Arabidopsis thaliana: one gene and its partner. The protein of the gene in region 1 purifies or fractionates together with the protein of each later gene. This does not show direct contact. Each region holds a gene or a part of one and is shown on either strand. Other genes may lie near its edges.

What was found.
Region 2: the proteins of RPS5 (region 1) and PBS1 purify together in Arabidopsis thaliana (affinity purification with western blotting; one study listed by BioGRID). This does not show direct contact.

The regions. Positions count from the first base shown.
Region 1 is NC_003070.9:4,142,394-4,148,548, reverse strand, and holds RPS5 (Disease resistance protein (CC-NBS-LRR class) family), read right to left. Parts: upstream 4,293-6,155; 5' UTR 3,916-4,292; intron 3,762-3,915; exon of another isoform or gene 3,541-3,761; 5' UTR 3,539-3,540; coding exon 869-3,538; 3' UTR 635-868; downstream 1-634. Other genes in the region: AT1G12230 (Aldolase superfamily protein), read right to left, coding at 214-355, 446-499; AT1G12211 (uncharacterized protein), read left to right, coding at 4,435-4,683; RFL1 (RPS5-like 1), read right to left, coding at 4,944-6,155.
Region 2 is NC_003076.8:4,174,725-4,180,758, forward strand, and holds PBS1 (Protein kinase superfamily protein), read left to right. Parts: upstream 1-1,781; 5' UTR 1,782-2,129; coding exon 2,130-2,256; intron 2,257-2,755; coding exon 2,756-2,958; intron 2,959-3,565; coding exon 3,566-3,755; intron 3,756-4,001; coding exon 4,002-4,393; intron 4,394-4,499; coding exon 4,500-4,958; 3' UTR 4,959-5,285; downstream 5,286-6,034. Other genes in the region: EXO70C1 (exocyst subunit exo70 family protein C1), read right to left, coding at 1-206.

The DNA of each region.
Region 1 (6,155 bases):
GGTCCTGAACTAAGAAAGGTAAACCAAAAATAGCAACTTTGTCAAGCATAGTTTCCTAACAAGTGACTCAAGACAGTATAAAAACAAACCCACATAAAAAGAAAGCTTGAATCGTAGTCAATCTTTCAAAAACCCATACTTTTGTTTTGTCTTTCCAGAAATCGTATTTATTAATTAATGAGAAACACGATCATCAAAGATATAAACAAATACCAGCTTCGAGAGACGAAGACGCAGGAGAGGAGGAGGAACTAGCGGAAGCAAGAATCCGAGGAATCGATCGCCGAAGACTGAAGTTAACGGCGGGAAGAGGAGTAACGGAGAATCCGGCGGCGAGCGTCTTCCATCGTCCCTTCTGCGAAGTTCAAAGCTCGCATCCATTAGATAAAAAACAAACAATGCACAAATACATGCGATTGAAAGAAGTAAGCGAAGAGGAGAGTACTCGGATTGAAGCAGAGAGAGTTGCACAAGGCGGAGATTGCAACGAGAGTGGCATTTTTTTCGCTGAAGTTGATCTGAGTAAGCAGATCCAGCCGTTGATATCTTCCAATTAACGTGGGTCCCGCCTTTTCTAATTTATCCGAAAACTGTCAACGAGATAAGACAGTTAATTATTATTTTATTACAATGGTTAGGAACTTGCAAGTTTTTATTCATTTTCTCATGAGTCTCTGTGTAATGTTTCTATGAAGCCGAAACAAACACTCATCGTTTAGAGAAAGAGATAAGTACAAATCCAATGATCACTAACCAAAAGAACGATGAGAACGGTTATGCAAACAAGAAGAGACAAGGAAGAGATTTACACACCGGCAAATGTCTTTAGACCATGACAACAAAAGTTTGTAGAAGAAAGTGAAGTTCATTATGTTTCTCTCCACCGCCACCTGGATGAAGGTAAGAAACGGAGTTGAGTTGCTTGGTCCTCCCATTCAACCCTTTCTATCCATTCTCTCTCTCCATAATATATGACAAGTTCTTCACCCGCGATCCCACTTTTAGAATCCAATGGAAGCTTTCTCAGCTTTTCACATTTTTCTACGTGGATAACTTTCAGACACGGAAAATGCAGAGCCTTTGCATAGATTCTCTTGAGCCCGCGTAATTCAAACAGGTGTAGTGTCTCCAATTTCCTAAAAGGAACAATCGTAGCTGAATGCTCCTCAGCTTTCTCTTCACTAATTATATCCTCTACTTCCTTTGAGAACCCAACTTCAAGAAAAGTAAGATTAGGAGCAAACAAAAGCCACGTCAAATCCTTAAGACCATGGCATTTAGCTATAAAGACTCTGGAGAGGTTTGAGAAGCATGGAGTTGTGGGACTTTTGTTCCGAGACGATGATGAAGTTGTCCTCTCTATCTTTATCTCCCTCATTCCACATCTTTTTATCCCGAGCTTGCGGAGATTACCCATGGTTGGCAAAGTCAATACTCTCACTGATTCTTCCTTAAGGTACTTAAAATCTACCTCTTTTATACATTCCACCAACCTTTGAGAGCATAACAATGGCTCTGCAACCAAACTTGATGATATATCTAGGGTTATAACTTCTAGATGTTCTAAGAGCTGCAGCTCCTTCACTAAACTCATATCTAGCAACAGTCTGGAATCTCGTAGTCCCAATGTCCTCAAATTCCACAAATTTGATATCCCTAATATACTCCCAAGACTGCTCATGTGTTCGAGATTCAGATGTATTAGCTTTTTCAATGTCCATAAACCAACGGGTAGTTGATGTATACATGTATATGACAAGTTGAAATATCTCAAAGAGGCCAGCTCTGATATTTCTTCTGGTAATTCATTAAGACTCTGATTCTCTGATAGATCTAAAACCACCAGATGAGGCATACATCGAAAGAATTCAGCCGAGATCTTTACCACGTCGTTCTTTTGGAGAAATAGAGTTGTAAGTGCAGCACACTCGTGACTGTCAAATATCTCTTCAATCTCATTATTCATCAAAGAAATCTTTCTCACAGTGTTCCAATCCTTGACTTTTGGTACTTCACGTAACCCAACACCAGCTCGCACAATACATTTCTCCTTTTGCTTCCCAAGATCGGATGATATCCATAGAGCCATCTCACGAACCACATCATGCATTTTCACGTTTGATTTGTTCCTTTCTTCCTCCAACAACAAACATGCACGGACAAGGGTACCAATTATCTCATAACCTTGGTTAATATTCCTCTCTCTGCCTTCTTTTTCATTTATGAATCCCTCACTTATCCAGTAGTCTACCAACCCCTCTTTATCAATAAGATAGTCTTCAGGAAACAGAGAGCAATAGAGGAAGCAGGATTTCATCAGCTCCCCATTTAAATTATCATAGCTATACTTCAAAACATGGAGAATTTCATCTTCCATACCTGAAAAATCTATGGCAGATGATGTTAAAACGTCAATGGCATGACACCATTCATGTACTGTTCTTTTGCATGCCATAGCTTCACCGATAACATTGAGTGCTAATGGTAGGCCACGACATTTCCTAGCGACTTTTCTAGCAAGTCCGGGAATGTCTGGGTGACTTCCCAGTGTATTTTTCCCAACCTTCATTTGAAACAAATCCCAAGATTCTTCGGGTTGTAGACAGCTAACTTCCATCGGATCATCAACCCCCATGCGCCCACACACATCTCGAGAACGAGTAGTGAATGCTACCTTGCATCCGTTATCTTTGCTTGGATACGGGACTCCAACCGCTTTTAAATTCACTTTCTCCCATATGTCATCCAACAATAAAACAAACTTTCGTCTCCTAAGGACATTGTGGATGTCAACGGCTATCTGGTTATCGTTTTTCTCGCTCCACTCCATTCCCCCAAGGCCTACCTTTTCTGCTATGTCTCTTTGTATCTTACGGACTGTTGAACTTCTAGACACAACAACCCATATCACAACATCAAATCTGTCATCTATTTTAGAAAACTTATTGTTGATCTTCGTGAGTAGTGTCGTTTTGCCTACTCCCCCCATACCGTACAGACCCAAAATCCCGGATCCATCTTCCATGAGACGGTTCCATGCCTTTTCAAGCATTATCTCCTGACCAACAATTGTGGGTTGAAAAGGGATCTCATCCACATCAGCAAACGGAGTTGCCTCAGAAACCACATCAAAGAATCCTTGAGAACTGAGACTCTCAACTTCCTTCAACATCATGATAACTCTTTTCCCATAACGATAGCTCAATTTCAAATCTTTGGAGCAGAAACCACAAAGACACAACCTTTGAAGCTCAACTTCATTACTACGAAGCAGATCATTAAACTGGTTTTGAATGATTAGGACACTAGTAAGCCATACCTGAACTTGGGAAAGCCTTTGTTGACGCCCTGTAAACTCTTCTGTTTCCAACCTTCTTATCACATCATATTGCCGAGCCTTGAGCATTCGCATGGCCTTCTGCAGAGAAGCCAGATTCTTGGAGAGATTGTGAATATAACTTCCCCTGACACATAACAACTGAGAGAACTGACTCACTACTTGATCACATGGCAATGAAACAGAGAAACAACCTCCCATCTCTGCACAATCAAGGAAAAGAGAGAGAGTGAGAGAGAGAGATTCACAGATTAGGTAGAGAAGAGGAATAGATAAGAAAGGAAAAGTCTATGTCACTATATGCATAATATAAAATCTCTAAGACTAGTCAATGTATAGTAAAAACGTAAACTTTGAAACAATCCAAAGATGTCAGTATGTCATCACTACGTTGACTAATCTCTAATAGACAAACAAAAAAGCTAAGAATCATCTCAAAGAACATTTAAGGGTTTATGGTTCTGTAGAATTGCAATCATCTTGAACTCAGATCAACGAAGGAACTTACTAAACTCACAAAAATAACATTTAAATTTTCCATAGAGAAATAGTTTTTCACTTGAGAAAGGAACACTTACAAAAAAAAATCTCCACAGAGACAATTCATCAAACAAGTGGTGTGCACACTGGAATTGATCACATAGGGTAATAAAAAATAGGCTGACGAACCAAATTGAGAAATCAAAATCAACTCATCATACTAGCATACTTGTCTTCTTCTATCTTATACTTGAGGAAACAGAGAGAGAACACTATTAAGGAACATATTTTCACATTCTTCCCACTTAAAATACAATCCTAGCTACATTACAATGAACACTCACAATCCAAACATACAACTAAACTGGAGTTGTTGTTAGAAGTTTGATGTGCAAGTCATGTTGACAGATGAAGCAAAAAGCAGAGTAACAGAACAAAACCAACGACACTTTTTTGAGGTTTAAGGGGTCAAGATTTCGATTCCGTACGGCTAAAAGATTAATTGACAAACCAAACCGAAGTTGGGCCGTGGAATAATAGAAAAAAAGTTAGGCCCAAATGACATATATAAATATATATATATAGCTAGGGTTTAGGAGGCAAAGGACAAAAGAATCATGGGGAAGAATCATCATCCCTTGGGCCGGAGGGGCGGGTGGGGCGGGTGGGGCGGGTGTTTCGGGCCTATGACAACATCGAAACGTAATGTTTACGCTGGAAGAAAATTCAGTACGTGTGCGAGACTTTATAATTTGAAGGGATCGGATCACTCTGATCAATTTCATATTCAGGTTATTCACTTAATCTTTGCAATTGAGAAATATTTCTGTCATCTAGGCTTTTATTTATTGAATTCATTGATTTGATTATTCTTAATTACAACTTGTGTTATTATATATTACAGGAAAAGTTGTCGGAGATTAGCTAAGGATTCGATTCCTCCGCTACGAGCCCTAAGCGTAAAGAAGAAGAAACTCTTGATGATAATCCACCTCAAGATGTCATCTACCTCAGTAGACGGAGCTGTCTCAACCACCACATCAAACTCTACTTAAGAGAACTGAGACTCATAATATTCCTTCACATCACAAGAACCATTTTCCCATTTTTTGGGTCATGGGGCTCCTCAACGCAGCCTACAAGTAGGTAAGAAACGGTATTGTGTCGCTTCGTCCTCCCATTCAACTCTTTCTATCCATTTTTTCTCCTTGTATTTTATGACAAATTCTTCAACTTTGACAACACTTTTAGAATCCAGCGGAAGCTTTCTCAGCTTCGGACAATTGTTTAGTATGTCAAGACATCTCAAACGCTGAAAAGGCAGAGCATTCCAGTAGATGCTCTTCAGCTCAGACAACTGATACAAGTTCAGGCATTCTAGTTTCTGGAAAGGAAGAATCTCCTTTTCTAAAACACTTGCAGCTTTCTCTTTGCTTATTATATCCTCCAGATGCTTACACCCCCAAACGCGAAGATTGATCAGGTTTGGAGCAAACAGCAGCCACGTCAAATCCTTTAAACCATCACACCCTTCTATTCGCACATTAGAGAGGTTTGAGAAGTTGGGATTTGTTAGATTTTTTTTCCATGGTGTCTTCTCTATCATTATCTCCCACATCCAACAGTTCCATATGGAGATGTAACACAGATTATGTATAGCTGGCAAAACTAATACTCCTACGGATTCCTCCGGACGCTCCCAATGGTCCCTAATATAAATGTGTTGAATACATCTCCCAACTCTGGGATAACAGAACAATTCCCCAACCAAACCTGACGAGATATCTGTGGTTATGAGTTCTAAATGTTCTAAGAGCTGTAGTTCTTTCATAAGCCCCGTATCTAGTGTCGTTTTTGAATCTCTTAGTCTCAATGTTCTCAAACTTGACAAATATGATATCCCTGAAATGCTCTCAAGTCTCCTCGTCCTTTCCAGTTTCAAATGTACTAGCTTTCTCAACTCGTGTAAACCATGAGGTAGTCGCTCTATATATGTCCCGGACAAATCAAGATACTGCAAGGACACCAACTCTGATATTTCTTCTGGCAGTTCACTAAGACTGTGATTTTCTGATAGATCCAAAACAGCTAGACTAGGCATACACCGAAAGAATTCCATTGAGATGTCTACCAACTTGTAGTTATTCTGAAGGAACAGAGTTATAAGTTCAACGCATTCGGGACTGCCAAGTATCTTTTCAAAATTGTTATTCATTAGCGACATCCTTTTCACAGCTCTCCAGTTCTCGACTTCAGGTAGTTCATCTAATCCAATGCCGGCTTGCACAATACATCTCTCTTTATGCTTTCCAAGATCAGAAAATATCCACAGAGCCAT
Region 2 (6,034 bases), on another chromosome or scaffold:
GGATCTTTCTCGGAAGAAAGTGTTTGAATGAAATCGACGACGGCTTCCATCACCTCGACGAGGCTATGTTCGGAGGATTCCGATTGTGATTCCGGCGTCGATGAATGCAGTTCATCGGAATGTTGTTTATTCTCGTGATCTTCAGATTTGTGATCATGATTTTCCGATGATTCATTTGCGTGATGGTGATTTCCAGATTTCTCCATTTTTCGCCGGGAAAAATTTTAAAACCCTATCTAACTGTTTTTTTCTCTGTTTTTGTTTTTTTTTTGTCTTTTTTTTTTGGTGTTTTTGAGGAAATTAAGATGGGGAAAAAATGGGAAGAATGGAGGAGATTAGTGTGAGGATTATTCTTAATAATCCATTATTAGAGTTTCTTTCTTTCTTCTTCGAAGATACTAATTGTGAATTTTTCTTCTCTGTTTTAGTTATTATATATTTTCTCTTTTATTTCTGAGGTTCGTTTTTTTGGGTATCCATTGGCCGTTGACCGAGAAGGGAAAGGTTATGCGTCTCACGATCTCTCCAATTTTTTTTTAATTGTACTTTATATATTAAGGAATTAATCAAACTCAGCCTGATCAAACTTGAGGTTTATTTATAATGTGTTGGAAAAATTATGTAATATTATGATTCAGCAATTTAGTTTATATTTGGGCTTATGTCATATACTCTGTGATCCAAGGGTATATTGTGTGAGTCCAGGGCTGGAAGCCTAAAGCTAAATATATTTGATGAGGCCTTTGTCTGTTTCTTTCATGTTTGTTTTATAAAGTCTACTATGCTTTGCATATTTTAGCCAATGACCGGACTCACTTGTATGCTTCAAATCTGGATTTTGCTCTTTGTTCCACTAAAATCATGCAACAAACAAACAAACAAAATTGCTACACCAAAATTACTTCTTATGTTTTTCCGCAATTTAAGCAAATTGTGCATCTAAGTTTTAGTCAAACCAATCATGCATTTGACGAGCATGGTATAATCGTTGATTGAGGCTGACGATCAAGGATCTATGAAATATGTTTACACCATCATTTGATTGGTAAATGACACGTTATCTTAACCAGAGGTTGATTGATAATAGTTTGATTGATAGTTAATACTTTTGATTGATAATCAGTTAATGCTGATTGTCAATTCCTTTCTTTTTTAAATGACTATATAACTAAACTGATAAGCGCTGCTAAATATTTGGTTCTCGCGTATGAGACTATAAATAGCAATATCTAGCAAGACATGAAAATGCAAGCTATAGTTTCGTTCTCTGCTTCAAGACCAAAGCAAAGTTATCTTTTTGTAGTGTTGTGGTATAGAGTTTGCTAGAGAAAAAAGGGGATATATCCTGAGTTTTACAAGTCATGTTGTGCAATCAGGGGGAAAATTAATCCACTTGTACAATAGGTGAAGGTAAAAATTAAGTTTTGACTGAGAGAACCAAAAAGACTTATAGGAGATTATGAGTTCAAGTGTCAACACTATCATCACTTTAATTTTACAAGGGTAAATGAGTTTAAAACAATTGTTTGGTGATTAATGACAACATTTCTATGACCAAAAACTATTTATAGAAATTCAAAAAAAAAAATATATATATATACTCTCAAAAAGTTTTATAAAAAGAAACTGAAGAAATATGATTTTATGTAAAGTGATTAAAAATAAGTAATAAGTTTTTTTTACTAATTTTGTTATTTTGACAGCAGAAAGAAGATTTGTTTGCTTAAATTAACAAAAAGAAAAAGAAAAGAAGTTAATTTGCTTGTATTGAAGATAATCTCGTCAACGAGAAAAGTTTCGAAGGAAGGATTTACTGAGAGTTTCAGCAACGCGTCATTGTTAATTCGCAATTGGTAATAGTGTGAACACTCGTGGACGACAAAAGAAGCTGCTTCTTCATCTCTCTCTCTCTCCTTCTCTTTCTCTCTCAACTCCAATTCGTTTTTACCAGTTTCGAATCTGAACAAAGTTGGGTTTTTTATTGGTACCCAGAATCTCAATTCTCCTTCTTTCCTTCTGGGTATAGGAAAAGTCTCGCCTTTTTTTATATTTATCCAATCGCTCCTGTTCATTGATTCCCCAGTAGGATTGTAGTTTTTGGTTATTGGGAAAATTGAGTAAAGGAGGAGATGGGTTGTTTCTCGTGTTTTGATTCGAGTGATGACGAGAAGCTGAATCCAGTTGATGAATCTAATCATGGTCAGAAGAAACAATCACAACCGACAGTATCCAATAACATATCTGGACTCCCTTCAGGTTTTGATTTACTCATTTGTGCTTTTTTATGTTTTAATCCACTTTCGTTACATGCTCATAAGATCTGGTTATTTGATCCTCTGGTTAAGCTAACGGGACTTGATCTCAATCACTGTTACTTTGGTTTTATGAGCTTGTCAGATGTTTTTTTAAGCTATTGGGCATGTTCTGATTCAACTGTGTTTCTTGGTGAAAGTGTCATTCTTTGCTTCAATTTCACTTGTTTTGATCTGATTGGGAAGTCTCTAGCTTGTGCTCAGTGTAAATTTTGTGTCTTGAAAAGGAATCGAACCTTGTGAGGATCAGGATCACGTGATCCCTACTGAATTAGGATTAAGATCTTAGATTTGGTTATTTGGGGATTGTGCCTTGGAGACATTGATACAAGTTTTATGCTTTTAGGGTGATTTGTTATTGGAGTTTAAGTTGGCATGAGGTATGAGAAGGCTGTGAGTGGATGTGTTTGGTAAATTGATTGGTCTTGATCATGACGTTGCAGGTGGGGAGAAGCTTAGCTCAAAGACCAATGGAGGATCAAAAAGGGAGCTACTGCTTCCAAGGGATGGACTTGGACAAATTGCTGCTCATACATTTGCTTTCCGCGAGCTTGCTGCTGCAACTATGAACTTTCATCCTGACACTTTCTTAGGCGAAGGTGGATTTGGACGTGTCTACAAAGGAAGGCTTGACAGCACCGGTCAGGTATTTTTTGTTTCGTTTGAAGTTAAGTAAATTACATCGCATTCCTATTTCTACCATTGTTGTTATTCATTTTAGTGGGAGATTTTGCTTCATATATTGAATGAGTCTTATCTAATAAGTGTCACTTTAGGATTTTTTTTGTTTCATAAGGAGTTTCGTTTGTACGTTTCAAATGCTAAATTTTGGAGAGAATTCCAATTTTATGTGTAGTCTTGGTAAATGACAAGAGACATGCTTGAAATTGTTTCTTAATACGTGTGAAATTTCAAGAATGACGCTCTTTGTGAAGTGAGTGTAGGGTAAGGTCTTGATGTTCTCTTGGCCTTCAACATTTTTCTTGAATGATGAATATGCCAGGAAATGAATATGCAAGATACTGCTTGCCATCTTCCGGTTGTACATATGTTTACAGTGTTAAAAAGATGACTGACTTTTTAATTTTGTATATATGTTAACATGAATTCTGCATACTTGGTGAACAGTTTTACATTTATGTCTTTACTTTTGATCCATGTCACCTGTGTGTTTCAGATCACTTGTTTAGCTCGATGATTTCGCAATACATAATGTTGTACCTCTGATCTATTTTTTTTTCAATCATTTTCAGGTTGTTGCTGTTAAACAACTAGACAGGAATGGTCTACAAGGTAACAGAGAATTTCTGGTAGAGGTTCTTATGCTCAGTCTTCTTCATCATCCCAACTTAGTCAACCTTATTGGTTATTGTGCTGATGGAGATCAACGCCTCTTGGTCTACGAGTTTATGCCGTTAGGATCATTGGAAGATCACCTCCACGGTAAATCTCTCGCCAGCCCTTTTCTAATCTCTTACCATTTTATTAGACCTCAGAGATTCCTTGTGATCAACATCAATCCAAAGATTCTTTCTTATCTTAGTCAATGTCAACCCTAACTTTAACAGATTCTTCATTCATTTATTTATTTGTTATAATCATTACCTATAAATTATACATGTAGACTTAAGTTGAGAAGTAGTAGTTGCTTGTTTTCTTTGGCAGCCTCTAACAAATAATTTTTTCCAGATCTTCCACCGGATAAGGAGGCCTTAGATTGGAACATGAGAATGAAAATAGCTGCTGGTGCGGCGAAAGGATTGGAATTTCTACATGATAAGGCAAACCCTCCGGTTATTTATAGAGATTTTAAGTCATCAAATATTTTACTGGATGAGGGTTTCCACCCTAAGCTTTCTGATTTTGGACTTGCTAAACTCGGACCAACGGGAGACAAATCTCATGTCTCCACTAGAGTTATGGGAACTTATGGTTATTGTGCTCCCGAGTACGCAATGACGGGACAATTGACAGTAAAATCAGATGTCTACAGTTTTGGTGTGGTTTTTCTCGAGCTCATTACTGGTCGCAAAGCTATAGACAGCGAGATGCCTCATGGAGAGCAGAACCTGGTGGCTTGGGTAAATCAACTCGTCATCATCTTCCAATTGATTTGCCATTATTCTCGTATGCAAGAAGTCTTGAGAATTTTTTTGGTCCTAATAGTTAACATTTTGGTGGTAACAGGCTCGCCCATTGTTCAACGACAGGCGAAAGTTCATAAAACTGGCTGATCCAAGGTTAAAGGGGCGGTTTCCAACGCGTGCACTCTACCAAGCTTTAGCTGTGGCATCAATGTGCATCCAAGAACAGGCGGCTACACGTCCTCTCATAGCAGATGTTGTCACTGCACTCTCCTATCTTGCAAACCAAGCTTATGATCCAAGTAAAGATGATAGTAGAAGAAACCGGGATGAAAGAGGTGCAAGGTTAATAACAAGGAACGACGATGGAGGTGGCTCGGGAAGTAAATTCGATTTAGAAGGTTCAGAGAAAGAAGATTCACCGAGAGAGACAGCTCGGATATTGAACCGAGATATCAATAGGGAGCGTGCGGTTGCAGAGGCTAAGATGTGGGGAGAGAGTTTGAGGGAGAAACGAAGACAGAGCGAGCAGGGTACTTCAGAGAGCAACAGTACCGGGTAGAACCGGTTTGGGTCGGTCTTGACCCTTTTTTGTTCTTATTTCTCTCAAGACTCTCATTTATTGTCAAACATAGAAAACAAACAAAAAAACATTGGGACGACGAGTTGCTGTACATTATATATGTGATGTTGCAATATGGGCACAAAGGTTAATAACCAAAACTCTCTAATTGAGATTCTGGAGAGTTGTGAAGATTGTTCATGTAAATTTTGTAGTCTTTCTATTTTTAAATTTTGACAGATATGTGTTTCATGATGAGTCACATGTGGCGATGTTTACGTCTCATTGAAAGATTGAATAGCAAAGATCCAATATTAAGTGTTTCTGGACTCTATTCATGTGGTTCAGTAGTGTGGCTAATGTCCACAATCGCGGAGTTTCGGACAACGTGGGTCACATGCCCTCGCAATCTGACAATTATTTTAAGGATGGCTTATTCAGATTGTAAGATTTTAGTTGGTCTTATCAAGTTTTTGTCGGGACTTTTTTTTACTATTGACAGTGTACTGTGTAGTCTATTGAAATGGATGTCGAAACTTCCCGTATGTTTTAGTTTTGGTGAATATCATTTCTTGGCCTCTAAATACTCGGAGAATCTATTCTTTACTAGATAGTCCTAAATTTTAGAATTTTTTAAGTAAGAGGAAAAATTATTAACTAAAAACCTCTGTCTTTTTTTCCATCAAGAGACATACTAATTTTATAAATTACATAGCGTATCCTACACTGGCATGCGTAATTTGTCAAAATTCGCTATAATATATATGATTCTTTGTCGGATTTTGTCGTTACGGTTTAAAATGTAAGTTAGTTAACAAGTATATATATTTCATATTATTATTTCTTACGAGTTATTTATAGTTATATTAAAATATTTTGGGGTAATATAATCATAGGATGGTTATAATATTTGTAGATAACTAAGTAATCTTGTATATTTTGTTACGAATAAGCAAATAATATAGTGATTGTCACTTGGAAGTGTGAGATATGCTTGCAATACATTTTCATCAGACCATTGGGACGTCTTGACAATTTTTTATTCGTTTCCAAAACTGGACGGTGATGATTTTTTG